4 linked regions of the Saccharomyces cerevisiae S288C genome follow. Changing the gene in region 1 together with any one later gene gives a genetic interaction. Each region holds a gene or a part of one and is shown in the gene's direction. Other genes may lie near its edges. The genes, in order: MOT3, GCR2, NAP1 and HOM3.

Region 1 (7,594 bases):
AAAAAGGCAGATAAAGATTCACCCAACTTGTCACCCAAGAGTATTGTTCCAAATGACGGCAGAAAATGGTGAAATTTTGCCAGACAAAACTTTTTCTAAATTAATTGTGTCCACGTTCATGAAAAGCGGGGATTTAGAAGCAATACCTGCCATATTAACGTTTCTAACGAAAAAATTTGACTTGAATATTGATTACGATTTGAGTATGTATATTCTAAAGGGTTTGAAAAGACAATATTTACGAGATATTAGTAACATCAGTAAAGATGCTTGTGAGTACAAGTTACGGAAGGCGGAGCTAATGAATAATGAGTCAATCTTAAAAAACATTCCACAGGGTACAAATCAAGAGAATACAATATCCCATTTGATCAGGGAGATTTTGATCTTTATAAAATGGAAGGAAAAAAGTGATTGTTCTACTTTCTTGATGGTAGAAGATGCTTTTAAAGAATTAGGAACAGAGTTTACTTTACTCGAAGAATTAATAGAAGATGTAAATAAGTTAAAGATAAAAGCCTAAAAAAACGGATGCATTTTATATAATTTTAGCTATACGTGTACATATTTGTAATAAAGTTAAAAGAGGAGACTGTTTAGCTTTGTATTTATTTTTTACTTAATTTCATCCATTTAGGTACTCTATTTAAAGTCTTTTTGATACTTGTAGCGTTATCAGAAGGGCCCTGTGGATTGGATTTATTTATCGTATTAACTGATGGGGTTGTCCTCGTTTCGTGTGTGATTTTTTGTGCGTCTTCCAAAAGATGAGCCTTTATTAATGGGCCATTAGAATTTGAATTTGTTTCAAAAAGCAGCATTGTTTTAGAGCCAAATTCCAGGTCATCCAGTAGCTTCTTATCGTCTTTAGCCAAGGGTTTGAAAGGATGAGATTGGTTTAACGTAAAAGGCATGTTCTCATCGATCAGGAACTGCGACACGACGTTATAAACTGTACGCATGTCTTCATTGGGTTTGAATGCTATTTGAATATGGCTTCTATCGGGGAACTTGACTCTCAGCAAACACTCAGATATAGCCTTATTTTTCTTTGGCAAGTTGTTGGCTGATTGCTCTCTAAGTCTCTTTGTCAAAATAGGACCACCCAAAGTACCAGCCTTCGATGATAACATTTTTTGGTATTTCTTGGCTTGTTCTACTGTCAATTCATAATCTTCTTCATCCTCGATTTGATCCTTGATAACTGCTAATGGCTCATCCGAGGGCAAAAACACAGAAGGTTTATGTAGTTCGTGAGGTGGTAGTGAAGCAACCGTTTCCGGGTTCGTCATCGTAGGGGGAGTTTGTTTTGGGTGAATAGCGCTATTAGCGCTAATGCCCTCAGAATGAGATGTATTATTAAAAATCAATCTAACTGACGAAGGCTCCTGAATCCCTAAATTTTCGAGAGTCAAATTCTCATCCTTAATTGTTTTGAACTCTATTATCTTGGAAAAGACCTGGATCTTAAAATCATCTCCCGCAGCGCCGCTCATCTGTCGCAAGATAGGGGCAATTGGTTGGTCAGATGGCATTTCTTTAACCACGGAATCTCTTCCTGGGATTTGAAACCGTATTTTGATCGTATTGAATGGAATATCTTCGCGGTTGGTCTTATTCGCCACCGGAAAATTACTACTTTTAGATAATTCTAAGTTGACACCCGTTGGTAAGTTTAGAAGCCTCCATGGCAAATCTAATGGCACCGGTTTATCCAAATGTATCAATGACCAGTCGTTTGACGAGGTGTGCAGTTGAAAGAATTGTATGGATTGGTGTAACACATCGTTTAGTGTTGAATTCAACGAAACTTTACATTTGAAAAGTTGGAAGTTATACTTCACGGTAACCATAGGCATTGTATTGTGCGCTTATTAGTCTGCCTTGCTATTCTTCGCAGTACGTAGATTTATCTTAGTTTTTGCATTTTTTGGTTTTCTTTTTTTTTTGCCACACATAGTACAATAAAAGAGAACTTGAATCTTTGAAGAAACGTCTAAATTAACATCGAAGATAGAAGACAGGGAAACATCTAGGATTGCAAGAAATAGTGCTGAAATTTTGTAATAAAGTTGCAAGAAATAGCATCTAGCGTTTTATAAGGCGTACATCTTTCTTGGCAAGAGTTCCAAGAGAAAAGAGGAGCAAAACAGCGGTTGAGGCGCCCGCTATCTTGAATATTATACAGTTTCTTTAAAAACGCTTGTACAACACTGCATAAACATGGACAAATTATTGAAATTGTTTCAAGATATTTCCCATATCATATTCCAATAGCGTTACTCTCTCATCGCTTATTCTGGAATCATTATTTTAATAAAGATAACTCACACGATATACGTGTACTGAGCTGACCTTTATACCTACCCTTACCTGCTTATTCCTGATAAAAATGTTCGTGCAACTAATTGTTTGATTTCTCTTGCGGCCCGGTTATTCCGGAGTTGATACTTTTTTTCTTCTGTCTTAATTACGTTTTTTTCCTCTAGACTTTTTTGATCTGGTACAATTGAAAATGTATAAATCAACTGGACCCTAAAAATAAAAAAAAAAAACGCCCATTAGAAAAGAGGATATATTGAACAAAAGATGTTGAAAGAGCCCTCAGTTCGCTTGCGGGAGGCTATTATTGAAGGCAATTTACTTATAGTGAAAAGATTATTGCGACGGAATCCGGATTTGCTAACCAACATAGACTCAGAGAACGGATGGAGTTCATTACATTACGCCTCATACCATGGAAGATACCTTATATGCGTGTATTTAATTCAGCTGGGGCACGACAAGCATGAACTAATAAAAACCTTTAAAGGAAACACCTGTGTGCATTTAGCATTAATGAAAGGGCACGAGCAAACCTTACATTTACTTTTGCAACAATTTCCGCGATTTATCAACCATCGCGGAGAGAATGGTAGAGCCCCCATCCATATAGCATGTATGAACGATTACTACCAATGTCTGAGTCTGTTGATAGGAGTTGGTGCTGATTTATGGGTAATGGACACTAATGGCGACACGCCGCTGCATGTATGCCTGGAGTATGGCAGTATAAGTTGTATGAAGATGCTTCTCAATGAAGGTGAGGTGTCCTTGGATGATAATGTCAGGGACAAGGGAAATTGGAAGCCAATAGATGTAGCACAAACGTTTGAAGTAGGTAATATATATTCAAAAGTGTTAAAAGAGGTGAAAAAGAAGGGGCCACCGTTGGGTGCAGGCAAAAAACCAAGTTCATTCAGAACTCCTATACTAAATGCGAAGGCCACTTTCGAGGACGGGCCTTCCCCAGTTTTAAGCATGAATTCGCCATATTCGCTCTATTCCAATAATAGTCCGTTGCCGGTATTACCAAGAAGGATATCAACGCATACAACAAGCGGTAACGGTGGGAATCGGAGGAGTTCTATCACAAATCCAGTATTCAACCCACGAAAACCAACCTTGTCTACGGACAGTTTTTCGTCAAGCTCAAATTCCAGCTCGAGACTAAGAGTGAACTCCATCAACGTCAAGACTCCAGTAGGTGTGTCGCCCAAGAAAGAGCTTGTATCTGAATCAGTACGACACAGTGCAACACCAACAAGTCCGCACAACAACATCGCGTTGATTAATAGATACTTGTTGCCTAACAAGAGCAATGACAACGTGAGAGGAGACTCACAGACAGCTACAATCAACGATGACGGTGGCGGCGGCAATGGCGGTGATGCCACTATAGGAATGGGACTAAGAAAGGACCCGGACGATGAGAACGAGAACAAGTACAAGATTAAGGTAAACAATGGCGAGCCGAGGAGACGAGTGTCACTTCTGAACATACCCATCTCAAAATTAAGAAATAGCAATAACACGCGTGCAGAAGATTGAGAAGACTACTACGTATTTTTTTTTATATGCATCCTTTTTTCCACATATGTATGCGCGGTGCGCGCGCGCCATTAAAAGATTTTTTTCTTAGCTCTTTTTCTTTTTTCTTTTTCTTTCCACTGAGATGCGTTCTTCGGTATATAGTGAGAACACTTACAACTGTATACGAACATCGAAGGAGCACCTAACAGAAAGAAGGAGGGTCGCCATGGCGCCAATGTTCCAACATTTCTTAAACTTATGCGTGGAAAAATTTCCTGAATCCATCGAGCACAAGGATACAGATGGAAACGGTAACTTCACCACCGCTATTTTAGAAAGGGAGATTATCTACATCCCCGAAGATGACACTGACAGTATTGACAGCGTTGACAGCCTCAAGTGTATAAACTACAAGCTGCACAAATCTCGCGGCGACCAAGTGCTGGACGCCTGTGTGCAATTGATAGACAAGCACCTGGGCGCCAAGTATCGCCGGGCCTCGCGCATTATGTACGGCAACAGGAAACCATGGAAGGCAAACAAACTCGCAGAGATGAAAAGCGCCGGCCTTGTGTATGTCTGTTACTGGGACAACGGCGTGCTAGGTGCATTTACTTCATTCATGCTTACAGAGGAGACGGGTCTCGTCGAAGGTGACGCTTTACACGAGGTTAGCGTGCCCGTGATATACCTTTACGAAGTACATGTAGCTAGCGCGCACCGCGGGCATGGAATCGGTCGGCGGCTACTGGAGCATGCACTGTGCGATGGCGTAGCTCGACACACCCGCCGCATGTGCGACAATTTCTTCGGTGTAGCACTCACCGTATTCAGTGATAACACTCGGGCCCGGCGACTATATGAGGCGCTTGGGTTCTACCGCGCTCCGGGATCACCCGCACCAGCATCACCCACAATTCGTCACACGCGACATGGTGGGGGACGTGTAGTCGTGCCCTGCGATCCGCTTTATTACGTATATTGCCTTCACATGCCGTGAAAGCCGACAGGGACAACGCGCGATAAAAAAAAAATTAAAAGTAAAACTACGTACGCGGCGGCGCGACTCGAATCCTTGACTCCGACTGAGGAGACCCGAACAACGCTCCCTGCTCTCCGCCTTCGGCGCCTTCCGATAACTGCGCACGGCAAGGAGTAGTGGCGATAACGGTGTTTATTGCCGGTTTTTTCGTTTTTCTTCTTGATTTTCTTCTTTTTTTTCCTCAAAAGATGTGCTGTAGCCTCCGCTGTTGTTTTTTTTTATCCTACCAAGGCGCATCATCCTGTCATGATCTGCGCTGGATAGTATTTATACTACTACTCCGTCTGGATTTACTAAACTTTGTCTCTCTTTTGATGTAAAGTTAAAGAAGAATTACGAAAAAAGAGAGAAAAAATAGAAACAAATAATAGGAATTAAGGCCTTGTAGCAATCAAAAAAAAAAAGAAAAAAAAGGAATTTTTTTTGGAAGAAAACTTGAACAAAACAATTCCTCAAGAAGGAACAGGTACAAGAAAAGATTTAACAGAAGGAAAACTAATAGGCAACAGTAGGCAAATAGTAAAGGGACATATCATATTTGAGCAATGAATGCGGACCATCACCTGCAACAGCAGCAGCAACAGCGACAACAGCATCAACAACAACAGCATCAACAACAACAGCATCAGCATCAGCATCAACAGCAGCAGCACACGATATTACAAAATGTGTCGAACACTAACAATATCGGCAGCGATTCGCTGGCGTCACAGCCTTTCAACACGACTACTGTTTCCTCTAACAAGGACGACGTTATGGTGAACTCTGGGGCAAGAGAACTTCCAATGCCCTTACATCAGCAGCAGTATATATACCCTTACTATCAGTATACAAGTAATAACAGTAACAACAATAATGTGACGGCTGGTAACAATATGTCTGCGTCGCCGATTGTCCATAACAACAGCAACAACAGCAACAACAGCAATATTTCTGCTTCTGATTACACTGTCGCAAACAACAGTACTAGCAATAATAACAATAATAATAATAATAACAACAATAATAACAATAATATTCACCCAAACCAGTTTACTGCGGCCGCAAATATGAACTCAAATGCTGCAGCGGCTGCTTATTACTCCTTCCCCACTGCGAATATGCCAATACCGCAACAGGATCAACAATATATGTTCAATCCTGCTTCATACATAAGCCATTACTATTCAGCAGTTAACAGCAATAACAATGGTAATAACGCCGCTAACAATGGCAGCAACAACTCTTCTCACTCAGCCCCAGCCCCGGCCCCCGGTCCACCCCATCACCATCACCATCATAGTAATACACACAACAACCTCAACAATGGTGGTGCTGTAAATACAAACAACGCTCCTCAGCACCATCCAACGATAATAACGGATCAATTTCAATTCCAACTACAACAAAACCCTTCTCCAAATTTGAATCTCAATATTAACCCGGCACAACCTCTGCATCTACCTCCTGGTTGGAAAATAAACACTATGCCGCAACCACGTCCTACGACAGCACCTAACCATCCCCCTGCGCCGGTGCCTTCTTCGAACCCTGTGGCCTCGAACTTGGTTCCTGCCCCATCATCAGACCATAAATATATCCATCAATGCCAATTTTGTGAGAAGTCTTTCAAAAGAAAATCATGGTTGAAAAGGCACCTATTGTCACACTCGCAACAAAGACATTTTCTATGCCCTTGGTGCTTAAGCAGGCAGAAGAGAAAAGATAATCTTTTACAGCATATGAAACTCAAGCATACAAATTATTTATTAGACGAACTCAAGAAAAACAACATCATCTTTAACTACAACAATTCTTCCTCCTCTAATAATAACAACGACAATAATAATAATAATAACAGCAATAGCGCTAGCGGCAGTGGCGGTGCCGGTGCCGCGGCGGCAGCAGCAACAGCTCCCGAAAATGAAGATGGAAACGGTTACGATACAAACATCAAGACTTTAATCAATGATGGTGTACTGAATAAGGACGACGTTAAACGTGTTTTGAATAACCTTATTGTTAGTCACAACAAATAGATAGACTTTATAGACACACAAAATATCCCTTCCCACTCATTTAACAATCAAGATAATAGTAATAATCACAAATTTAGAAAGTAATTATGCATATATACATTATATACATATAGTTTATGTATGGTACGGAACTGATTACAACATCTCTCTAACAACGGCCTCGTGAGGGAAATCGTCATCTGTAGGATTTTTGATAATGTTCGTATTCTGGAACTCTTGGTGTTTAGTATATGCTACCGCATAACTGATTGACGATATCGTTAGCCCGACAGCTACCACAATTAGACTCGTAGCCATCACTGCAATGGAAATATACTGGATTATCGCCATTGCTAGATAGAAAAGACATCTCCATCCATTTGTTTCAAATCTCTTGATGAATTCAATGAAATTATCGCTAAGGGGACAGATTTTCAACAAAAATGGTATTTCAATGAATAGGATCACTAACCCTTGGATTATACTAATGATACCAAAAGCTATCACCCCACTAACGTGGAACAGATTCGCTATCCCGAGTGCAATACACAAGATTATGTTGATATATCCAAACCATCTACCATATACGCTAAAGTTGAAACTTTTCAAATCCTTCACCATACCACCCACATTGATGAACTGTCCTAAACTTAAAGCCATTATTGAAAACTAGTATATTTTAGTTGTTATTGCTCTTCTCCTG
Region 2 (7,753 bases), on another chromosome or scaffold:
ACGGACACTCTTCGTCTCACGAACAGCGCTCTGGAATTTTACCAACTGAATGCCCAGGCCCTACTTTAAACACCGGTGCCGGTAGCATCGGTATCCCGGGATGTGGCAAAGTCACAAATAGAGTGGTCAGTGACTATAACAAAAACGCTAGGTCTACGCTAGCCAATTTTGATAGTAGTAAAATGACCGAGGCAAGAATGAACAGCAAGAACGTGCCGATTGGTTGTCAAGACACCTCTGATCCGCACTTCAATGGGCCTATCGACCAACATGTTCCCGGTGCAGGTTCACCTCAAAGTCAACCTCATCACATCGACGCGTGGAACAGCGTTTCTTCTCGCCGTGCCGATAATAACAACCAAGACATGATGGACCCCCAAACGGCTTCCTCAGACAGGTACAATGAGAAAATGATGAGAGAAGAAAATAGCGGCGTCTCTGCTTCTTCTTACACCACTAAAGTGCAGGGATATCCCGCAAGTATTCCATCATTCAATCAGGAAACTGAGGAAAAGGAAACCTACGCCTACGGTGTGGGTGATCGGCACAATGTCCCAAGAAACCAAATTATGGATGAGACTAATCCTTCGGCTAACGTTCTAAACGCTACTGATCATAGTATTTCGCACCCTGAGAATAAGGTCTTGCATAAGTAGTTTTTGTTTTTCCTACAGTTTTTATTTATAACCAACCTTATACTTTTATATCCTTGTCTACATATTATTGTCATAACGAATTTTTTATTGGTTAAATGCAGCTATTGCGTTCTCTTTATTGCATAAATATATTCTATTACAATATGGGAGGGCATTATCAGCCTCCATGTGCTTGCGTGCTGTCAAAGAAGGAGTGCGGGGATGACAATATGAATAGCCGCCGAAATTATGCCCGGCTGCAGTTGACCGTATAAATAACAGTGCTTCAATGAAAGGACACAAAAAGCAAGATCGTCCCATTTTCTACCTTAATCAGTATAGTAAAAATCAAAAACATAATATATTACTGTTATGATGAATAAAGTAGATCAAATCATCGGTTACAAAAAGTACGAAGTGAAACTACCAAAAGATCGACAAGTAAAGAAAAATAAATCAAAAGGTGGAAATGTTGATCAAATAGATACTAAGAGGGAAAAGGATAAAATGAGAGCTTTTGGTGAAGAAAGGAAAAAGTTCTTAGATAAAATGGCTAAAAACAAAAAAAAAAATACAAGTAGAAAAGATAGAGAGAAGCCAAAAGAAGTAGAAAAAGAAAACTACAAAAGAGAAGACAAAAGGCTAAAAGAACAGAAAAAATTATCACTGGCAAAAGAATTTCGTTTCAAAGAACCGAATTCAGAAGCCATTAATCAGAACACAGCAGCTGAAAATGGTAAACCTAAACCACAGACTGGACTAGATTTTGACATAGACCATCAAACCGTGTCCAAGATCATGATAGATCAGGCTATTCAAACATCTAGTCCTCTTAATGTCCAACTCACGGAACTTTTCAATGATAACGTCCTCGACGTCTCGAAAGATAGTCAGTTTGTCCTTCAAGACATGGAGTTCACCTCCTGGGAACGACGCTGGTCAAACTGCAGCACGACCAGTAATGCGACTACGGTCTCATCAGTTCCTGATCCCAAATATAATATCAACTACAACGACATAACCTCCTTCAATTCAGTAGCGCTAATTACCGAAGATCTTAACATATCTGCATCATCTAATGGTCTGCATGAGAGAGGTAAAAAGCTACTGCAGCAAGAGATGGAATACTCAAACAAGGTCAAAAATGTCACCATCGGGCTTGAAAGATTGTGTATGGATGAAAAACCAGTCCCAGATGCAGGAATAACCATGCAACAAGCGTCGCGCTGGTCAGAATTCCCCACTTGTTGCGATCAAGCTGCTATTTAGCTTTTCTAATTTAAAAAATTTATAAACTTCTTATAGTATTTCATCTTTATATCAAATACTATTAGCAAAATAAAAGGAAAGGAAAGGGAAAGGAACTTCTTTAGACTGCTTCGCACTGATTCTATCGCCATCCTTCTTCATGTTCTCAACTATTGGATATCTGCTCTATTTAGAACAATCGTTATTGTTACCCGCGTTAAATGGGGTAACTGATTGCTGCTTTTTTTTCTCGTTGTTTTGGACCTTTTCGGACATGAGAGGTCAAAAGAAAAAACAAACACGACCAAGTAAGCCGGAATAAACAAGTATAACCACCTGATTGAATTGCCTTCTTTAAACAAGCACAGACCTCCAAAAAGAAAAGGCTTTTGAAACGCTGCTCACGCACAGTTGTTTATTCCGTCCACATATTTTACGTGTCAGTTTCCTTTCTGTCTTCTCTTTATTCAATCAATTAGCATTAAAGAGAAAATAAGTCGTGTACTTTGAAAACCTTCTGTTCCTGTTTTCTTCCCGTATTTTTCATTTGCTTCACCAGCTTTTTCTCAACTGATCATATCATTTCAAGTTAAAAGTCTTTGTCATCACTTTTCTGTGAGTTGCAAATATTTGTAAGCGTCACTTACCTAGAGCAGCCTTTATCGATCAATATTTCAGAGGGAAAAACCTGTATCTCTTAGCATGCAAAGTTCAGTTTATTTTGACCAAACAGGGTCATTTGCGTCCAGTAGCGACAACGTTGTGTCTAGTACCACCAACACACACAACATTTCTCCCAGTCATCGTTCCAGTTTGAATCTGAACACTACTTCTCATCCCCACGAAGCGTCGGGTAGAGGAAGCGCAAGTGGGGAGTTGTATTTGAATGACACAAACTCACCCTTAGCGATATCTTCTATGCTAAACACACTTGCCCTTGGAAGTATGCCCCAAGACATTGCAAGCAGCAACATTAGCAATCACGATAACAACATTAAGGGGAGCTACAGCCTAAAATTGTCAAATGTAGCCAAGGATATTACTCTCAGAGAATGCTATGCAATCTTCGCTCTTGCTGAAGGTGTGAAAAGTATAGAATTACAGAAAAAAAACTCTTCATCAAGCATCACTTCTGCCTCATTAGAAGACGAGAATGATATTTTTATCATTGCCAGATTTGAGTTATTGAATCTAGCTATTAATTATGCCGTTATTTTGAATTCGAAAAATGAACTCTTTGGACCCAGTTTTCCCAATAAAACAACCGTTGAAATAATAGATGACACAACAAAAAACTTGGTTTCATTCCCATCATCTGCCATTTTCAATGACACCTCAAGATTGAATAAATCGAACTCGGGAATGAAAAGGCCAAGTCTGTTATCACAAAGATCCAGGTTTTCATTCAGCGATCCATTTTCCAATGATTCTCCTTTAAGCCAACAGCAATCTCAACAGCAGCAGCAACAGCCACAACAGCCACAACAACACTCTACGCAAAAACATTCACCACAACAATGTAATCAACAACAAGTGAATTCTTCAATACCGTTATCTTCTCAAGGCCAGGTTATTGGGTTACATTCTAACCATTCACATCAAGATTTGTCTGTGGAATCAACAATTCAAACATCTGATATTGGCAAATCTTTCCTTTTGAGAGATAACACTGAAATTAATGAAAAGATATGGGGCACAAGCGGTATACCTTCCAGCATCAACGGTTACATGAGCACTCCCCAACCTTCTACGCCAACTTTAGAATGGGGAAATACTTCTGCATCCCAACATGGTTCTTCGTTCTTTTTACCCTCTGCAGCATCGACAGCCATTGCACCTACGAATAGCAACACCAGTGCCAATGCAAACGCCAGCTCCAACAATGGAGCCAGCAATAATGGTGCTAACCAGGCACTCTCTGCCAGCTCGCAACAACCAATGATGCAAATTGGTAACACGATTAACACTTCCCTAACCTCTTCAAATTCATTGCCTCCATACGGTTTAATGTCTTCTCAATCGCAGCACATTTCAAATATGGTAAACACCTCTGATATGAACATTACACCTCAAAAACAGAACAGATTTATGCAACAACCCCAACCAGAGCATATGTATCCTGTGAATCAAAGTAACACTCCTCAAAAAGTACCGCCCGCAAGATTAAGTTCAAGTAGAAATTCACACAAGAATAACTCTACTACCTCATTATCCTCAAATATTACTGGATCTGCCTCGATTTCTCAGGCTGATTTGTCACTACTAGCCAGAATTCCACCTCCTGCCAACCCTGCTGATCAAAATCCACCTTGTAATACCCTTTATGTAGGGAATTTACCCTCCGACGCTACTGAGCAAGAACTAAGACAGCTATTTTCTGGTCAAGAAGGCTTCAGAAGACTATCATTCAGGAATAAGAATACCACATCTAATGGTCATAGTCACGGACCGATGTGCTTCGTTGAATTCGATGATGTCAGTTTTGCAACCAGAGCGTTAGCTGAATTGTATGGTAGACAGTTACCTCGCTCCACTGTGAGCAGTAAGGGAGGTATCAGATTAAGCTTTTCAAAAAACCCACTGGGTGTTAGGGGCCCAAACAGCAGAAGAGGAGGCAGTGGTAACCCAAATCCTAATGTAAATATGCTTTCCAGTTACAATTCTAATGTTGGTCATATAAAAAACTAAAAAAATGGTTCCGCAAAAACCTGATTTCCTTGCATGTATCACATTATATGCATTGCTTTTCATCTTTCCCCCACTATAATAAGAATAATATTTTCTGTCGCATTTTTTCTTTTTCTTTTATTATTTGTTATAATAATATTTTCTAAACCGACTAATAATAAGAATAACATCGATAATACTTTATCTCTTCAATTACGTTAAATTATCTTTTTACTATTACATTACAACGTGCATATAACAGAAATTTTTTCTTTTTCTGTCTAACATTTGAATTGTACTATGAATTAAACCCGCCATCTTTTTTCTTAACTACCATTTTGCGAACTCCTATACCGCTTCTGCAACAACAAGAACTTTTATTTTCAATTTTAATGTGCCATTCATTCCATTTTGCTTGCGCTAATGTGAATAAGATTGAGAGGGAAAAGTCTCACTATCGAATATCGCTCTTTAGTGTGATTATTGTCATCAAAGCACCAAGTGCTTAGGTGAGGTCATATCCGACAAATGTTTTGAAGAGAGAATATCTTTTTTTTATGCTGCCAACTTTTATTCTTTCCTTGTTTAAAAAACTCTGCCTTTGGATATTCTCCCACTATATATATGTATTAGCCTTACTTTTATTCCAGAACTCATTTTTATAGAAGTATATATCGGTATCGACTTCAATGTAATATTTTCAACCCTATGCTACAAGAGCAGATTAAAAAAATATGGGCTACCAGTGGCAAGAACATATTTGATATTTCGAAGTTCTACTTTGTTTATGACCGAACTGATCAATTTTATGAATGTCTTTCAATGGAATCTCAATACGGGTAATAACGTCATATTTCTTATTTTTCTTGGACAATTTGTCCAAAATAAAATTTTCACGACTTTTCTCCTTCAAGTACCGCGACTTCTGCGATAGTTGTCCGTTAGACATAATAATCATTAACGCATCCATAAGGTGCTTGCGGTCTGTATTTGACTTTCTTCACATTCTTACGCCTAGACTGAATGGGAAAACAACCAAGAAACCAAAAAGGAACCTGAGAACACAAAGAGTATTTGACGAAAAGTTACACTCACATAATGCATCACCAAACTAAGTTAGATGTATTCATAATCAGAGCTTATAATTTACTGTCTAACGAGTCTGTCATTAGTGGTGCTTCCTTGCAGAGTGTTACAAACTCGCCACAGACGACAACGAACACGCCCTCAGGTATGGTTAACGGGGCGGTTGGAACAGGGATAGCTAATCCAACAGGGTTGATGGGGTCTGATAGCACACCTAACATCGATGAGATTATAACTAGCACTGGTAGTAATGCTCTGACGAAAACCAACTCAGATAGCGCTAATGGTACGCCGAATGGTAATTCAAGTTCTACCTCAGCCATTAGCAATGCAAGCAATCCTGCCACTACTGGTAATAATGCGAGCTCTAGTGCCACCTCAAATGGAATATATACGCAAGCGCAATATTCTCAACTTTTCGCCAAAATATCAAAACTATATAACGCTACACTATCATCTGGGTCAATTGACGATAGATCAACATCACCAAAATCGGCAATCGAACTATATCAAAGATTTCAACAGATGATTAAGGAACTAGAGCTGAGTTTTGACGCAAGTCCTTACGCAAAATACTTCCGCCGGTTGGATGGAAGGCTTTGGCAAATAAAGACAGACTCAGAATTAGAAAACGATGAATTGTGGCGATTAGTCTCAATGAGCATATTTACAGTATTCGATCCTCAGACCGGCCAAATTCTAACTCAAGGACGCAGGAAGGGAAACTCCTTAAATACATCAACTAAAGGCTCCCCATCAGATTTACAGGGAATAAACAACGGGAACAATAATGGGAACAATGGTAATATTGGAAATGGGAGTAATATTAAGAACTATGGAAATAAAAACATGCCAAACAACCGAACGAAAAAAAGAGGCACCAGGGTGGCTAAAAATGCTAAAAATGGGAAAAACAATAAAAATAGTAATAAAGAGAGAAACGGCATTACAGATACGAGTGCATTCAGTAATACAACAATAAGCAACCCAGGTACCAATATGCTTTTTGATCCATCATTGTCTCAACAGTTACAAAAACGACTGCAAACGCTATCACAAGATGTCAATTCTCGTTCGTTGACAGGATATTATACACAGCCAACCAGTCCTGGCTCAGGAGGATTTGAATTTGGTTTGAGTCATGCAGATCTGAACCCCAATGCTTCCAGTAATACCATGGGCTATAATACAATGTCCAATAATGGATCCCATTCGTGGAAACGAAGGTCACTGGGATCGTTAGATGTTAATACGCTGGATGACGAAGCGGTGGAAGAACTTTTGCAACTGACAAATACGAGTAAGAGGCAGAGGCCGATGACAACTGCAGCAGAGGGTGCGTTAATAAATGATGGTCCGGACACTAATTTAAACGCGAATAACACCCAAATGAAAGTTGATTTAAATCCTTCAAACAGCATGGGACCTATAGATACAGAAGCCGTGATACGCCCATTGAAAGAAGCTTATGACGCAATCATTTCTGAAAAAGGCCAAAGAATTGTGCAATTAGAAAGAGAATTGGAATTACAGCGCCAAGAGACGCAGTGGTTAAGGAAAATGTTAATTGAAGACATGGGTTGTGTTAGAAGTATGTTAAGGGATTTACAAAGATGACACGATAATAATGTTTAACATATATTGCTTTCTCTTTTAATTTTCTGGTGTAGATTGGCGGTATAATTAACTATTTAACAGTGACGTTTACTATCTTACTGTTTCTTGTACTCTTTTATAATGAACAGACGTTATTATATAACTACGAACTAATGATAATTCTTTTTACGTTATTCCTGATGTAAAGGATACAAAATGGGTTTCTTTATTTTGCAGCAGAACCGTAAAATTTACGCTACTTTTACCGTGGGTCCTCTTATTTGATTGTTTCCGTCGCTACGAGCGAACAAGGGGTGGAGACAATAGGGATGGTGAATATATACACATACGTTCATATATAAGAAAAAAACTCAAGAAGAATATCAAACGACCAGGATCCTTGCTTATATTATTGTCTGTTGCTGGGCCAACACATATTTTCATTTCAACACACCAATCTCAGGTATTAAAGAGAAATCATTGTAAGGTAAAAATGTCTACGTTGAAAGTTGTTTCATCAA
Region 3 (7,440 bases), on another chromosome or scaffold:
GAATCGTAGTGGTACACCTTTTAGGGTCTTAATCTTTCTTATTTTTCTTTTATATTTCGTTAAAGAATAATAAACTTCGGAGATAATACATATAATACTGAGAGAAAATTACGTTGGCTCTTATGTAGGTAAAGAGGGGTAAACTTGATTTTAATGCTTCCCCCAAAACTTTGTTGCTATTTTTTTCAGTTTGTGGGATCTCTTTTTGACGTAAGTAGTCATTGGATCCTCACCAACTTTGGCTAACAACTTACCCTTAGCTTTCATATCTTGTAAACGATCAATTTGTTCCAGTTTGTCACTTGGCAGCATGATGGCACGATCCAAAGTGTATGGTAAACCTCTATTTCTTCCTCTTATTAGCATGGCAATTATGACTAGCTTCGATAATACGGTGAACTGGGCAGATAGTGATGTGTTGGTGTTTGGGTAACCCAATGACAAACCCACTGTACCATAAGCGCTAACAACTTCAAACAATATAGCAAAGACATTGAAATCAGGTTTATTAACGTCTTCGATTTTTCTGCCCTCGCATATGCATATTATAAATAATCCAAGGAATAGGTACCATAAATCAAAAGAGAGTTGCCTCCTCAAATGAGCACCAACAAACGATTTTGGGGACTGTTTCTTCGGCTTGGACTTTGTAGATACAGTGTCTCGCTCTTCGGATTCGCCATCATGGTCTGTTTCCTTTATATCGTCTTCGTGGGTGATATTTTCGTCATCTTGTCCACTATCGTATAGTCCCAACGATTGCTCCTCATAAACATTCGTTCTTCTAATGGAAATCGCCAGCGGCAGGACCGAAACGTACATCATTAGCATATAAGACACCTGAATGGACGGGTGTAATTTACTTAAGTCAACAACGTTGAATCCAGCAGTTCTTGTGCATACAGACTGGAAGAGGCCCATGAGAGCTCGATAACCTTTAGCAACCTGCCTTACTACAGCGGAGTTGAAATCCAGAATTATGAAAAGAATCCAATCCGTAGCGTTTAAGACGACTAAAGTTGTAAACAGCCACCATGTGGGGCCGCTGGGGAACAGCAACGTAAAACACCTGCGCGGATGATCCAAGAGAAACCCAAGACTTTCCTTAAACTGAGATAGGTCTCTCGAGGTCTTGAACATGATCCAAATGATAAATCGTAACATAATTGGGAAGCCTGTATTGCCTATGATGATGAAGAACATCATGAAAATCAGCGGATACGGCGCAGTATCAAAGGAAACCATTGAATCAGCGGTCAAAGACAGACCCAAGTTGCTGAATGCACTCATTGCAGTGAAAAACCCCCACCAGGTTGGAGAAACTCCATTTCGTCTAATAATCTCTGAGTAGTGGTGCCTCGTACAGGCCCATGGAACGATGGTCACAAACGCCAAAATGTTGAATCCGATGTAGTATACCATGAGAATGCAGCACAGCAATCTCAAAGCACGATATTCGACACCGCCGAGTTCCTCCTTTTGTTGCTTTGTGAGTCCAATGAAGACGGAGTTTCTGCCAAAGGTTGGCTGCCACGATAGATAGTTGGTGCTCATTGTTCTGGTGAAGGGGTGGCCTATATCACCTTCACGTCGTTTTGGTTTGGGCGGGTGCGCTTGGAACTGTAAATTCAAAGACTCTTGCGGTGAAAAGCTCATCTCCTCATCAACAAAAGATGAAGGCGCCGACTTGGCCAAGTTTCTATGATTTTCAACTACTTGGCCTGAGGTTTTAGGACTCGGTGAAGCAGTATACGTTGGGATGTTACATGATTGCGTTCTAGATATTTTTTTCTTCTTGGTGACCATATATTTGTGAGGAGCACCGTCAAAGTAGTCATGGTCACCTTCATCTCTCCGCAAGCCAAGCAATTTCTGGAAACTTTTCGTCTGGGCTAGCTTGTTCAATTCCTGAGAAGATGGCAGGACAGAATGGCGTTTCAGTGAGCAGTGGGGGGCTCTTCTCTCATGACGTTCCTGCACAATGAAAGCGGGTCCATTGGTCTCGCTCGAAAAAGAATCCGTGGAGTTTGCGTTGCTCTTCTCTTGTTGTTTTTGTAGCATCATTATCGATTTGTAAATGTCTCTTGGGTCAACGTCTGAGGGTTGGCGCTTACTTGAGAAGTTTGGAGGCGAGCTTTGCGTGTCACTGGATTCCTCCTTAGAGGAGGAAACATTCAACGGTGAGATTGAGGACAATGCGGACGTGTCAGGAGAGTCCATCGGCACATCTGAAGCGGATTGTCGTGGGTCTTCTCTGGAAACAAACTTCCCACGGAACAGGTTGTCCTTGAAACTCCTACTTCGAGCGGCATTGCCACTGCTGCCCGATAGTTCCCTTTGTTGCAACGTCATGGTCCTTCTTAGTTTAAAATTCTGTTTGGAGATATCCCTAATGTTGTCGAAGTACCTTTCAAACCAATACAGCCTGACAAAGGCCAAAAACCCATGAATAAGTATAGGCGTGGACAGCAATGTAATGACGTACACCACTATCTGCTGGTACAGGTTGAAATCGTTAGTGCTCTTGGTGGCCAGCCCGCCCTGTGTAGACGCTCCAGCAGCCAGAAATAGCACATCGATGAACGCCGTGTTCTTGCACGGATATAACAGAATGGACCCGATAATCGACAGCGTGATCAGGTAGATATAGTGCACCACGATGAAGTTGGGGAAAACGTATTTAGCAATGGGTCTGCATGATTTTAAGAACCCGGAAATGAAGTCTCTTAGCCGATGGCCCCATGATTTCTTGTGCACCAACCGTAACTGGAAGGGCAGTGCCAACGAAGCCCTGGATGACGTCCTCTTAGCTGTTGGCATGAGTGGTTCTTACAGCCTCTTATCGTCGGTGAATAGTACAAAATAGCCTCTTTTCTCATCATCTGAAACCTAGTTATTCCAATATCATTTCTCTTTTTCAGCCGCACGGCCGAGGGGATTAGAAACGAAAATTCACATCTCATCCTATTCTTCGCAGGAGATCAAAAGTGAAAGAGAGAAACGGGAAACAACCATCTGAGCATGGCAGCTTGCATCAAATTATCAATCATCGTGTGATGTACCATGGCCTATTCAACGGCGGTACGCTTGTACTACAGGGCGCTTTCAGCGCATGCCGGGCACTCCCTTCTTTCTTCCGTCGTCTTGCATCTCTCTAATCCCGTCGCTATGCTCTGATATAACCGTTGCCAAAGTGTCAAGCTGTTGTGAAATTGTGCTGGAGGCATTGATGGTTCTTGAACTCTTCCTCTTTTTAGTCTGGCTTTAGCTTGATTGGGCACGGGCACTCAATGGACGGGGTATCCACCCAGCTTGGAAAGGGGCATATAAAACCAAAAGAGAACGTTAAGAAAAGTGCAAATGAAAATAACAGACCGGGAGATCGCAAACGCAAACGCAATAAATGTCGTTTTGGAAAACATTGCAGAGACAGCCACGTACCATCTCGTTGTTTACCAATGACATCGCGTCCAATATCAAGTCGCAGAAATGCCTGCAGTTGCTGAAGGGAGACGTCTCTCATCGATTCGACGTGGAAATCGCCAACCGCTTTCCCACGTGGGACCAGCTGCAATACATGAGAACTTCGTGCCCGCAAGGCCCAGTTTCGTTGCAAAGGCAGATTCCAAAGCTGGATTCAGTGCTCAAATACAAGCACACAGACCCGACGTTCGGGATGGACCTGCAGAAGTGTGTCCAGAGGGGACTTTGGAATCCAAAGGAGGCGCTTTGGGTCGACTGGGAAAACAAGTTGGTGGGAAATGAGCCCGCAGACATTGACAAGTACATCATTCAGCGCAAATAACACCTATATACCACTATATTGAACACATACATATTTTTATAACAATGGGCTATATCTTTTTTGTATTACCCGCGTAATTGGGAAAATTTTTCCTTTTAAATAGCAGCGTTTGGGATCAAAAATGGCAGTTTGATGGTAGATTAGGAGGATTTAGTGAGCCCAGTGGGACCAAGAGCAAAGCGCAAGATCATGTCAGACCCTATCAGAACGAAACCCAAGTCGTCGATGCAAATCGACAACGCCCCTACGCCTCACAATACCCCAGCATCGGTTCTGAATCCGAGCTATTTGAAAAACGGCAACCCAGTTAGGGCCCAGGCACAGGAGCAGGATGACAAGATCGGCACCATCAACGAGGAGGACATCTTGGCTAACCAACCCCTGTTGTTACAGTCCATCCAGGACAGACTTGGCTCGCTGGTGGGCCAGGACAGCGGGTATGTGGGGGGTCTTCCCAAGAACGTTAAGGAAAAGCTGCTGAGCTTGAAGACTTTACAAAGCGAGCTATTCGAAGTTGAAAAGGAATTTCAGGTGGAGATGTTTGAGCTAGAGAACAAGTTTCTGCAGAAGTACAAGCCCATTTGGGAGCAGCGGTCCAGGATCATTTCAGGACAAGAGCAACCCAAGCCGGAACAGATCGCAAAGGGCCAAGAGATTGTGGAGTCACTCAATGAGACGGAGTTGTTGGTGGACGAAGAAGAGAAGGCCCAAAATGATTCCGAGGAGGAACAGGTGAAGGGAATTCCCTCATTCTGGCTAACCGCATTAGAGAACTTGCCCATCGTTTGCGACACGATCACTGACCGCGATGCGGAAGTTCTGGAGTACCTGCAAGATATTGGTCTGGAATACTTGACGGATGGTAGACCCGGTTTCAAGCTGTTGTTCAGATTTGATTCTTCCGCCAACCCATTCTTCACCAACGACATTCTGTGCAAGACCTACTTCTACCAGAAGGAGCTCGGTTACTCCGGGGACTTTATCTACGACCACGCAGAAGGCTGCGAGATCAGTTGGAAGGACAACGCCCACAACGTCACTGTGGACCTAGAAATGCGCAAGCAGAGAAACAAGACCACCAAGCAGGTGAGGACCATCGAGAAGATCACTCCCATAGAATCCTTTTTCAACTTCTTCGACCCTCCCAAGATCCAAAACGAAGACCAAGACGAGGAGTTGGAGGAAGACCTCGAGGAACGTCTAGCTTTAGACTACTCCATCGGGGAACAACTTAAGGACAAGCTAATTCCTAGAGCCGTGGACTGGTTTACCGGCGCAGCCTTGGAATTCGAGTTCGAGGAGGACGAAGAAGAAGCGGACGAGGACGAAGACGAAGAAGAAGATGATGATCACGGCTTGGAGGATGACGACGGGGAATCTGCCGAAGAGCAAGACGATTTTGCTGGCAGGCCGGAACAGGCTCCTGAATGCAAGCAGTCATAATCCCAACGCACTTCGCAAGAGTGGTCATAACCGTATTCATATATTTATATACATATGTATACATACATATATAGATATATATATGTATATACATGTAAGTGTGTAAGCTGAAATATATGTTAAAGCGCATGTAACTAAGACGACAATAATAATAATAATAATGATAATAATAGCCTAGATTTTCTCCGCCGTGGGGGATGATCGTATTCTTTCGGATTTAATAATATAGCAGCAAGGGTTATAAAAGGAAAGATAACGGAATGTATCGGTAATCATTAACCATCACTCACTCTCCAGAACCGTAGCGTAATTATGTCTGAATCATCTATTTCTTCTTCTAAACCATCTGTGGAATTGCCACAAGCAACCTGGTCGCATCTGCAAAGATACCCAGCTTTATCCAAGTTTATTAAATATGCGGAATCTCTGCCACCTGTGGAGAGATTGATTTCCTTCAACCTCGTTGTTTTGGGATCTGTGAACCAGTGGGTTTCCGAATCGTCCAGCTCTCCTCGTCTGGTGAAGCAAGTTGTTGCTGCTGGGAAGGAAGGGGCCTTCAAGTTGGACGAGTTAGTTAACCTCTTGGTGTTCAAGGAGGGTGTCGACGGCTTGCTGTACAATTGGAAATCACATTCCAACACGCCAGGGATCTGGCTGGTGTGGTTCTTCGTCGACTACGTCGCCAACATTTCTAATACTCTGTTGAGGGAGTTCCTGATCAAGCCATTGCACTTGCAAGGTTCTACCGCATCGAAGGAGATCGGCTCTTCCGGTGAGGAGAACAAGGTCACTGATGCTTCTTCTTTGCCCCACGTGGCAGAGTTGTCTTCAACGACCAGAGGTATGTCGCAGGAGATCCAGTCCAAGGTCAAGTCGAACTATATCGACCCAACCAAGGACCTGGCTAAAGAAAAGTACGACGCCATAGTGAAGCCCACAACTGACAAGTTGCAGTCTGTGTACATCGACCCAACAAAGACTAAGCTTAACGAAACCTACCAACGCTTCACCACTGTCTATGAAAACAATCTAAGTAAATCTGAAAGCGTCCCTAAAGCCATTGTATCCACCGGGTTGGACTTGGGCAATGCCACCATTGAGAAGCTAAAGGCCTCAAGAGAAGACCAAACCAATTCTAAGCCCGCGGCTGTGTCGACCAATTAGTAATTTGGTTTTGCGCTAATCGTGCGCCTGATTTTTTTTCCTGCCACTCTTATATAGTTATTTGTTATTATTCTATTATTTCATCTATTGTTTGCTAGCTATTATGTACGTTGCTGTTTGAGCACTATATACAATTGAATACCAAAGAAAAAATTATAAAAACGAAAAAAAAAAAAAAAAAAAAAAATTTGGTTATAGCTCGATCAAGAGACAATAAAAGTGAATATACATGGTGCCAAGGGAAAGTCCTAGCATGTCAAACAGTCATCATACATCCCAGGGAAGAAGAAACAAACTTTCAGTGTGGGTTAAAAAAATAATAAACACCACTACCACAACTAACGCATCGGTCTCGAGCAGTAAACCAAGACGCGGCACTAGGGCTGGCCCCACAAGAGTTAAGCGTGCTGAGTTGGATCCGGATGGAACAACCATCAGTTCGTCGTTGCGACCATTGGTTGATCGAAATTCGTTGCATTCGAGCGAATCCGATGACGAAGGAGACCGTCGAGTGGCATGGGATGAACCACCAACAGGCAAAGTAAGACAGCAGCAGCAGCAACAGCAGCAACAACAAAACGACAACGCAAGTGTTATTCCGCTAGTATCGTTTTGTTCCTCGTCAGTGAAGTCGTCTACTTTCTCGGACATTCATTCAATACAGTCTACGAGGCCCACAATATTCTCTAACAGGACGTTTGAGACGAATTCTAGCGTTCTGGCCATCCCACCACAGAGTATATTGGATCGATCAAGAACCCTCCCGCCGTCGAACGCAAGTAACACTACCACAAGAAGACCGTGAATTGGCTACCTAAGATGAACGTCCTATATTGTATTATTTGTGTATGTATGTATGTGCGTGCCTATGCAATGCTACATGGGCAATAGCCCCACAGAATGCGAGCCTGCCCTTTTTCTTCTGGATCTAATTTTTTTGAACCTTCTTTGGAAAACTCTTATGCAAGCAGAAAAAAGATAAATGCCCATGATCAATAGCAAAATCTCGCTATAATGCCATATGGTCA
Region 4 (7,482 bases), on another chromosome or scaffold:
GTACCCCTTATGCATTCAATTAAATAGAGAATTAGATATTTCTACCGATGTGCATTTTGTATATAAAGAAGTAGGAATCCCTTCTACAACGACAGAGGTAGACATACTGCTTGGAAACATTCTTTTCGTCCTTTTACAGAATTCTACATAGAAATAATAAAAACAAACAATAGCTTTACTACACAGTACACACTACAATGCAAGATTTAGAGATTTTTTTGAGTATTTTCGCTTTCATTTTCGTTTTCTACTTTGGTGCTCATAGAACAGTCATGAACAGAAACAAGAGCGATGTTCCTTACTTGCAGTGATTTAAATCAGCTAATCTGCTTACTGCCGCCAAGAGAGGTATGCAAAGTCAGTTCTACCTAGTCTGGCTTAGCGTTTTACTATTTACGAAGTTGATGTTCTGTTTTCTAATTTATCTTTTTTCTACTCATTCATTTCCACACTACACTTAATATTTTTTCAATAATTTTCGATGTTTTTAATCCGGTTTTCTATTGATGAGCGCCTTCTTAGCTCATACTTAATACACGTTTTTTAAGATTTATACGTTTGACAGCTCACGCTGTTTGACCAAAGTTATTTTCATTTTTATGTTCGTAATTATGTATTTTTGCTATTGTATATGATATACGTCTATATTTAGGCAATTATAATATGATTATAATATAACTTACTACATCTCTAAAACATGCTGTCTAGCCCTTCCATCGCAAGACTCGGCTAGACATTCGAGGAAGGCACAAAAAGCCACCTATCCCCATCTCTCCAAAAAGCTTCATTTCGAAAATAAGAAGGGAAACATCCGAATAAGACTAAAACTTTGTTCCTTCAATGACTACTAAGTTATTAGATGTCAGAAATCCCGCAAAATCGCCCGCATATCAAGGTAAGCGGCAAAACCCTATTCTTGAAAAAATGTAAATACTAACCGTGTGAGAATTTTAACGGTGTATTCCAAAAAGTCAGCACGTGATCTGCTAAGAAATCCGAACCTCGGCCTTTGTTTTTTTTGTTACAGCATAGGGAAAAGACGCATTGTGTCAAAAAGGAACATCGTACCATTACCCTCTCAGCACATAGGTAATAAGGTGACAAGTAGCAAGTGAAAAGTACCGCTTACGAAGAATACTTTAATTCAACGTAGATACTGCAAAATATTCAAGTCATTATTTTTGGCCCTTAACTTGCCTTTCCAGTTCTTAGATTCATTCATATGCTAGCTAGCAACAACGGTCACTTTGGGTTGCATTTCACAATCTCATTCGGCTAAGATCTCGGCTAACCAAAAGTTGGACTTCAGGGGTATTAGCGAAATAAGGAGATCTTTTTTAGGTTTATTCCTTGTTTTTAGTTTCATTTTGCTTAATAAAAAGGAAAATGGATATATCGATTTTCTGCATACCCTGTTACATTTGATATAAATACAGCGGGACCTACCAAATATACTTTCATTTTGCTTGTGTTTTATAGATATTTTATTTTTTTTTCCAGGCAGTCAATGACACATTGTTAACTGAAAGTGTTCTGTTATTGTTTTAATTCTAAAAAAATAAAGTAAGGGAAAAAGAGAACGGACTCATTGACAGTTGTAAAGCATGGAGTCCAATAAACAACCACGTAAAATCCAATTATATACGAAAGAGTTTTATGCCACATGTACCTTAGGTGGTATAATTGCGTGCGGTCCAACACATTCTTCGATCACTCCACTAGATCTTGTCAAATGTAGGCTACAGGTCAATCCCAAGTTGTATACTTCAAACTTACAAGGGTTCCGTAAGATTATAGCTAATGAAGGCTGGAAGAAAGTATACACTGGGTTTGGTGCTACATTCGTCGGATATTCGCTACAAGGTGCAGGTAAGTATGGTGGTTATGAGTATTTCAAGCATTTGTATTCTAGTTGGTTAAGTCCTGGTGTCACTGTGTACTTGATGGCCTCAGCGACCGCTGAATTCCTCGCTGATATCATGTTGTGCCCATTTGAAGCTATTAAAGTGAAACAGCAGACTACTATGCCGCCCTTTTGCAATAACGTTGTTGATGGATGGAAAAAAATGTATGCAGAAAGTGGAGGTATGAAAGCATTTTATAAAGGTATTGTTCCCCTATGGTGCAGACAGATTCCTTACACAATGTGTAAGTTTACCTCATTCGAAAAAATTGTTCAAAAAATATACAGTGTTTTACCTAAAAAGAAAGAAGAAATGAACGCATTACAGCAAATATCAGTCAGTTTTGTAGGTGGTTATCTGGCAGGTATATTATGTGCTGCAGTCTCACATCCTGCAGACGTTATGGTTTCCAAGATCAATAGCGAAAGAAAGGCCAACGAGTCCATGTCTGTAGCCTCTAAAAGAATATATCAAAAAATTGGCTTTACTGGGTTGTGGAATGGGTTAATGGTGAGAATTGTCATGATCGGTACTTTGACAAGTTTCCAATGGCTAATTTACGATTCGTTCAAGGCTTATGTAGGCTTACCAACCACCGGTTAGCTGATCGATTCAATCGGCAAGGTTTATCGTAAACACTCTGTGCTAGAGGAATATTGTATACACAGGATTTCATAAAGTTAGTAAATGACCGGCATTTATAGTTTGTTCTTCTTTGCATATGTCTTAATAAATATTCGTCCTACAATTTCTTTTCATACTAAGAGTTTTGTTATGATTGCCAAATTTCTCAAGCCAAGAACAGGCCCAGGAAAACTTTGAAAGTGCCATATCAGAAACACATTTATAAGGTAGTTTCGATATACGGCAATACTCGATGCATGCCCAAACTTGCCAGCCGCTCGCGATTGAATCTTCTACAATTTTTAGGTGAACATATTCAGAGGCTGAGGCCTTATTTGATAGTAACATCAAATATCACTCCCACAATTTACAATCACTGTCATTGGTCTCACAGGATCCTTTTCTTTCTAGAACTCCCCTAATATCAACTTTTTACTCTACTGTGGCTCTAACCACGTGTATTTTTCAGGCCCATGACTCACCTTTTCTTTCTTTTTCACTAGCAAACGAAAATTTCATCATCACTTTTTTTTTTTTTCACTTTCCGTACGCAGTCTTCTCCAGAGATTCTTTTAGCTTCGAAGAAATAATGTATAATATCCATATATAAGAATACTGCTGGATAATTATTTTATTTCTATTTTAACAGTGCTCTACTCATTGAAGGATATTTGTGTAGCCAATACTCTCTCCATCGCTTAAGCTCACATAGCTATCGCATTTTATCACAGAAGCTTTCATTTTTTTTAACTTTTACATGCCAATGGATTTCCAACCTACATCAAGTCATTCGAACTGGGTCGTGCAAAAGTTCGGTGGTACATCTGTCGGTAAATTTCCCGTCCAAATAGTGGATGACATTGTGAAGCACTATTCTAAACCTGACGGCCCAAACAATAATGTCGCTGTCGTTTGTTCCGCCCGTTCTTCATACACCAAGGCTGAAGGTACCACTTCTCGTCTTTTGAAATGTTGTGATTTGGCTTCGCAAGAATCTGAATTTCAAGACATTATCGAAGTTATCAGACAAGACCATATCGATAATGCCGACCGCTTCATTCTCAATCCTGCCTTGCAAGCCAAGTTAGTGGATGATACCAATAAAGAACTTGAACTGGTCAAGAAATATTTAAATGCTTCAAAAGTTTTGGGTGAAGTGAGTTCACGTACAGTAGATCTGGTGATGTCATGTGGTGAGAAGTTGAGTTGTTTGTTCATGACTGCTTTATGTAATGACCGTGGCTGTAAGGCCAAATATGTGGATTTGAGCCACATTGTTCCCTCTGATTTCAGTGCCAGCGCTTTGGATAACAGTTTCTACACTTTCCTGGTTCAAGCATTGAAAGAAAAATTGGCCCCCTTTGTAAGTGCTAAAGAGCGTATCGTTCCAGTCTTTACAGGGTTTTTTGGTTTAGTTCCAACTGGTCTTCTGAATGGTGTTGGTCGTGGCTATACCGATTTATGTGCCGCTTTGATAGCAGTTGCTGTAAATGCTGATGAACTACAAGTTTGGAAGGAAGTTGATGGTATATTTACTGCTGATCCTCGTAAGGTTCCTGAAGCACGTTTGCTAGACAGTGTTACTCCAGAAGAAGCTTCTGAATTAACATATTATGGTTCCGAAGTTATACATCCTTTTACGATGGAACAAGTTATTAGGGCTAAGATTCCTATTAGAATCAAGAATGTTCAAAATCCATTAGGTAACGGTACCATTATCTACCCAGATAATGTAGCAAAGAAGGGTGAATCTACTCCACCACATCCTCCTGAGAACTTATCCTCATCTTTCTATGAAAAGAGAAAGAGAGGTGCCACTGCTATCACCACCAAAAATGACATTTTCGTCATCAACATTCATTCCAATAAGAAAACCCTATCCCATGGTTTCCTAGCTCAAATATTTACCATCCTGGATAAGTACAAGTTAGTCGTAGATTTAATATCTACTTCTGAAGTTCATGTTTCGATGGCTTTGCCCATTCCAGATGCAGACTCATTAAAATCTCTGAGACAAGCTGAGGAAAAATTGAGAATTTTAGGTTCTGTTGATATCACAAAGAAGTTGTCTATTGTTTCATTAGTTGGTAAACATATGAAACAATACATCGGCATTGCTGGTACCATGTTTACTACTCTTGCTGAAGAAGGCATCAACATTGAAATGATTTCTCAAGGGGCAAATGAAATAAACATATCCTGCGTTATCAATGAATCTGACTCCATAAAAGCGCTACAATGTATTCATGCCAAGTTACTAAGTGAGCGGACAAATACTTCAAACCAATTTGAACATGCCATTGATGAACGTTTAGAACAATTGAAAAGACTTGGAATTTAAATCCACCTTTCTTCTTCACTTTAATGATAGAATATTAATTTTCCCTTTATATATATATATATATATATATACGCGCACATATATTTACATATATATTAATGTTTTGTAACCTATATTGGGGCGATTATTCCCTAAATGTAATGTCAGGGTTATACTGTATCAATTGCTAAAGTAGATCTCATTCATCGAGAGCATAGGATGAAATAAAAGATACAAGAACGTGGCGGACAAGAAGAAATTTTACGAAATAAGATCGGCTAAAGCTTTCGCTAAATGCTTCTTTGAAGTGAAATTTAACGGCTTGTACTTAACTTCAGGTTTTATAACGTATGCATGAAGTGATTGAATTGCGCAATTAGTGGTCCTGGAAAGCAAATCCCCATCACTGACATCACTAGTGATTTTATTTTTATCAAGCGCAAGATACTCGCATAATTTACCCATCACTTGATCAAACTTCGGGAAGGTAAATCTTCTAGGAACCTTTGTTAACTTTTCAATTTCCACAATTTTAAGGTGTGTCTCCAAATCACGGATGGTTAAAAAGTTGCCTCCAAATACCAAAGAGTCTACTGGTGTATAAACTGCATGAATATATCCAGCTGGAATCATAAACAAATCACCAGCATCTAATTCCATCGCAATACCATCCTCAAGAATATCACCGAGGAAAACACTATTTTGGTCTTCTTTTAAAGACCACTCAATATACTTATCTATGTTTGATTGGGTAGGTGGAAATAATAAAAACTTCTTCTGTCCTGAGATAACGTTATAATAAACAGAGGTACCGGCAAAATCCAAATGAAAATCCGTATAAGCATCCTTTACAGACATCAAAATATATTTGGTCACTTTTGGCTTGGGGTCATTCTCCTCCGCCTTCTCCCCATTGACTTTTTCTAAATGTCCATTGAAACTCCAAATTTTATCAACAAGATCATTCTGCCTAACTGCAGTGGGCCTCTCTAGTTCTAATCCCTCAATATTAGAGACTTCTAATGATATAACATTCCTTATTCGATCCCTCCTGTCTGGTTCAGTATTTGTAAAATATTCATTCCAAGATCCCAAGTTCCAATTTTCATTCATTTGTGATTGAACGTCCATTACATCAACATGATAATCCTCGCCTATCATTTCGGTGATATAATTAACTGTGAGGCATCCATTGTCTGTGCCCACATTCGGTACATATACTCCGCTATTCAGTGGATCGATGATCTTGTACGGCACATCTATATTATCAAACTTTTCAGCAAAGTCAGCGGCGTTTATAATATTTGAGCCATTTTTCCATTTTTCAAAAGATTTCATGAAACTCTCCTTATGAGGGTGATTCATTTTATCCCTTTTCGATTCACCCTCATTCAAAGCGATATAGTCAAGTAATTTCTTCTTTCTGAAATTATACCGCTTATTTATATGACTATCTTCAGGGTTTTCTTTATTCCTTTGCCGCTTTCCTTTTTGTGTGATGAGAGCGTATGCGGTAAGATATTCTCCTTCCTTATGATTAGGACAACGGTAGCTCTTGATTTGCTTCGCAGAATTTGGATAAGACAGAACTTCAGAACTTGTAAGATTTGAATAGTGAATGCGTTTCAAAGGCACGCATTTCACGTGGACCCACTGCGGGCAACTATCACACTTCACCCAAATTAATGCGCCTGGATTATCCTTCAACTGGCAATGCTGGCAAATATTGGGATCTTGCATTGCACCATAGCTTATTAGTATTTTGTTTTATGATCATTACGTCTTCTTACTCATTATAATCACCCACTTCTATTAGATGTTCTATTATGCCTTTAAATTGCATTGTAGGGTAACCTGTTGGGGGAAAAAATATCTAGGATTACTTTACATACTTAAATATGAGTCCATTATTAACAGTGTTACAGTTCTAACCAAAAAGGCAAGGTTCTACACAAAACTTCGGATGTTCAAGATGAATGCCACCACAGGCATAAAAATTCAAAACGGTATGCAACCTATCATCAAGGGAGCAGTAAGCTCCACATTTAAACGTGCTCTATACAATTTCGGTATCAAAGAAAAGAAGAGTGTCAATATTGAAATGGGGAGAACGCAACAAACAAAGAAAATCGATCAGTCTTTGTCCAAAAAACTTCCCAAAGGTACTATCTACGATCCATTTGACTTCTCTATGGGACGAATCCATTTAGATAGAAAATATCAGGCAAACAAGAACTCAAACAGGAACGATATAATGAAGTCCGGTGCAAATCCACTAGAATTTTATGCAAGACCAAGAATACTTTCAAGATATGTGACCTCCACGGGAAGAATCCAACATAGGGATATCACAGGCTTATCGGCAAAGAATCAAAGAAGACTATCGAAAGCCATTAGACGGTGCCAGGCAATAGGATTAATGTGAACTGTACTACACTAATGCTTCTCCACATGAAATAATTAAGAAAATAAGGCATTTCATAGTTCTGTCTGTAAATATACAATATGTAAAAAGAATCGCAATTAGATCTTAAGTTAAACTTATATTCATTCTTATATTTCTTTAATATACCCGTTTTATTCGCTTACTCGAATTTGGATTATGGTAATGATATTCACGCCAGAGGAATAAGC

What was found.
Region 2: mutations in MOT3 (region 1) and GCR2 together harm fitness more than expected from each alone (negative genetic interaction), as found in Saccharomyces cerevisiae (3 studies listed by BioGRID).
Region 3: mutations in MOT3 (region 1) and NAP1 together harm fitness more than expected from each alone (negative genetic interaction), as found in Saccharomyces cerevisiae (3 studies listed by BioGRID).
Region 4: mutations in MOT3 (region 1) and HOM3 together harm fitness more than expected from each alone (negative genetic interaction), as found in Saccharomyces cerevisiae (3 studies listed by BioGRID).

Annotation. Positions count from the first base shown.
Region 1 is NC_001145.3:403,715-411,308, forward strand, and holds MOT3 (Mot3p), read left to right. Parts: upstream 1-5,439; coding exon 5,440-6,912; downstream 6,913-7,594. Other genes in the region: SOV1 (Sov1p), read left to right, coding at 1-523; UBX4 (Ubx4p), read right to left, coding at 609-1,859; AVO2 (Avo2p), read left to right, coding at 2,590-3,870; NAT4 (N-terminal L-serine N(alpha)-acetyltransferase NatD), read left to right, coding at 3,995-4,852; TVP18 (Tvp18p), read right to left, coding at 7,048-7,551. UniProt on the Saccharomyces cerevisiae protein: Transcription factor that affects the expression of a large set of genes. Recognizes and binds to the consensus sequence 5'-[CAT]AGG[TC]A-3' in the promoter region. Plays a major role in the repression of a specific subset of hypoxic genes (e.g.
Region 2 is NC_001146.8:264,426-272,178, reverse strand, and holds GCR2 (Gcr2p), read left to right. Parts: upstream 1-5,648; coding exon 5,649-7,253; downstream 7,254-7,753. Other genes in the region: YNL195C (uncharacterized protein), read left to right, coding at 1-656; SLZ1 (Slz1p), read left to right, coding at 1,008-1,904; mRNA-binding protein WHI3, read left to right, coding at 2,586-4,571; NNR1 (NADHX epimerase), read left to right, coding at 7,726-7,753. UniProt on the Saccharomyces cerevisiae protein: Transcriptional activator required for the expression of glycolytic genes. Enhances the CT box-dependent transcriptional activation of a RAP1-GCR1 complex. Required for GCR1 phosphorylation.
Region 3 is NC_001143.9:523,195-530,634, reverse strand, and holds NAP1 (histone chaperone NAP1), read left to right. Parts: upstream 1-3,994; coding exon 3,995-5,248; downstream 5,249-7,440. Other genes in the region: TRK2 (Trk2p), read right to left, coding at 151-2,820; FMP46 (putative redox protein), read left to right, coding at 3,404-3,805; PLN1 (Pln1p), read left to right, coding at 5,561-6,412; YKR045C (uncharacterized protein), read left to right, coding at 6,666-7,217; UIP5 (Uip5p), read right to left, coding at 7,289-7,440. UniProt on the Saccharomyces cerevisiae protein: Acidic protein, which assembles histones into an octamer (in vitro). Involved in the regulation of the localization and the function of the septins during mitosis. Involved in the function of B-type cyclins.
Region 4 is NC_001137.3:253,762-261,243, reverse strand, and holds HOM3 (aspartate kinase), read left to right. Parts: upstream 1-3,285; coding exon 3,286-4,869; downstream 4,870-7,482. Other genes in the region: YER053C-A (uncharacterized protein), read left to right, coding at 198-311; PIC2 (Cu/Pi carrier), read left to right, coding at 1,605-2,507; JHD1 ([Histone H3]-lysine-36 demethylase), read right to left, coding at 5,110-6,588; mitochondrial 37S ribosomal protein bS18m RSM18, read left to right, coding at 6,857-7,273. UniProt on the Saccharomyces cerevisiae protein: Phosphorylates aspartate, the first step in the biosynthesis of amino acids that derive from aspartate (the aspartate family of amino acids), including methioinine and threonine, the latter of which is a precursor to isoleucine.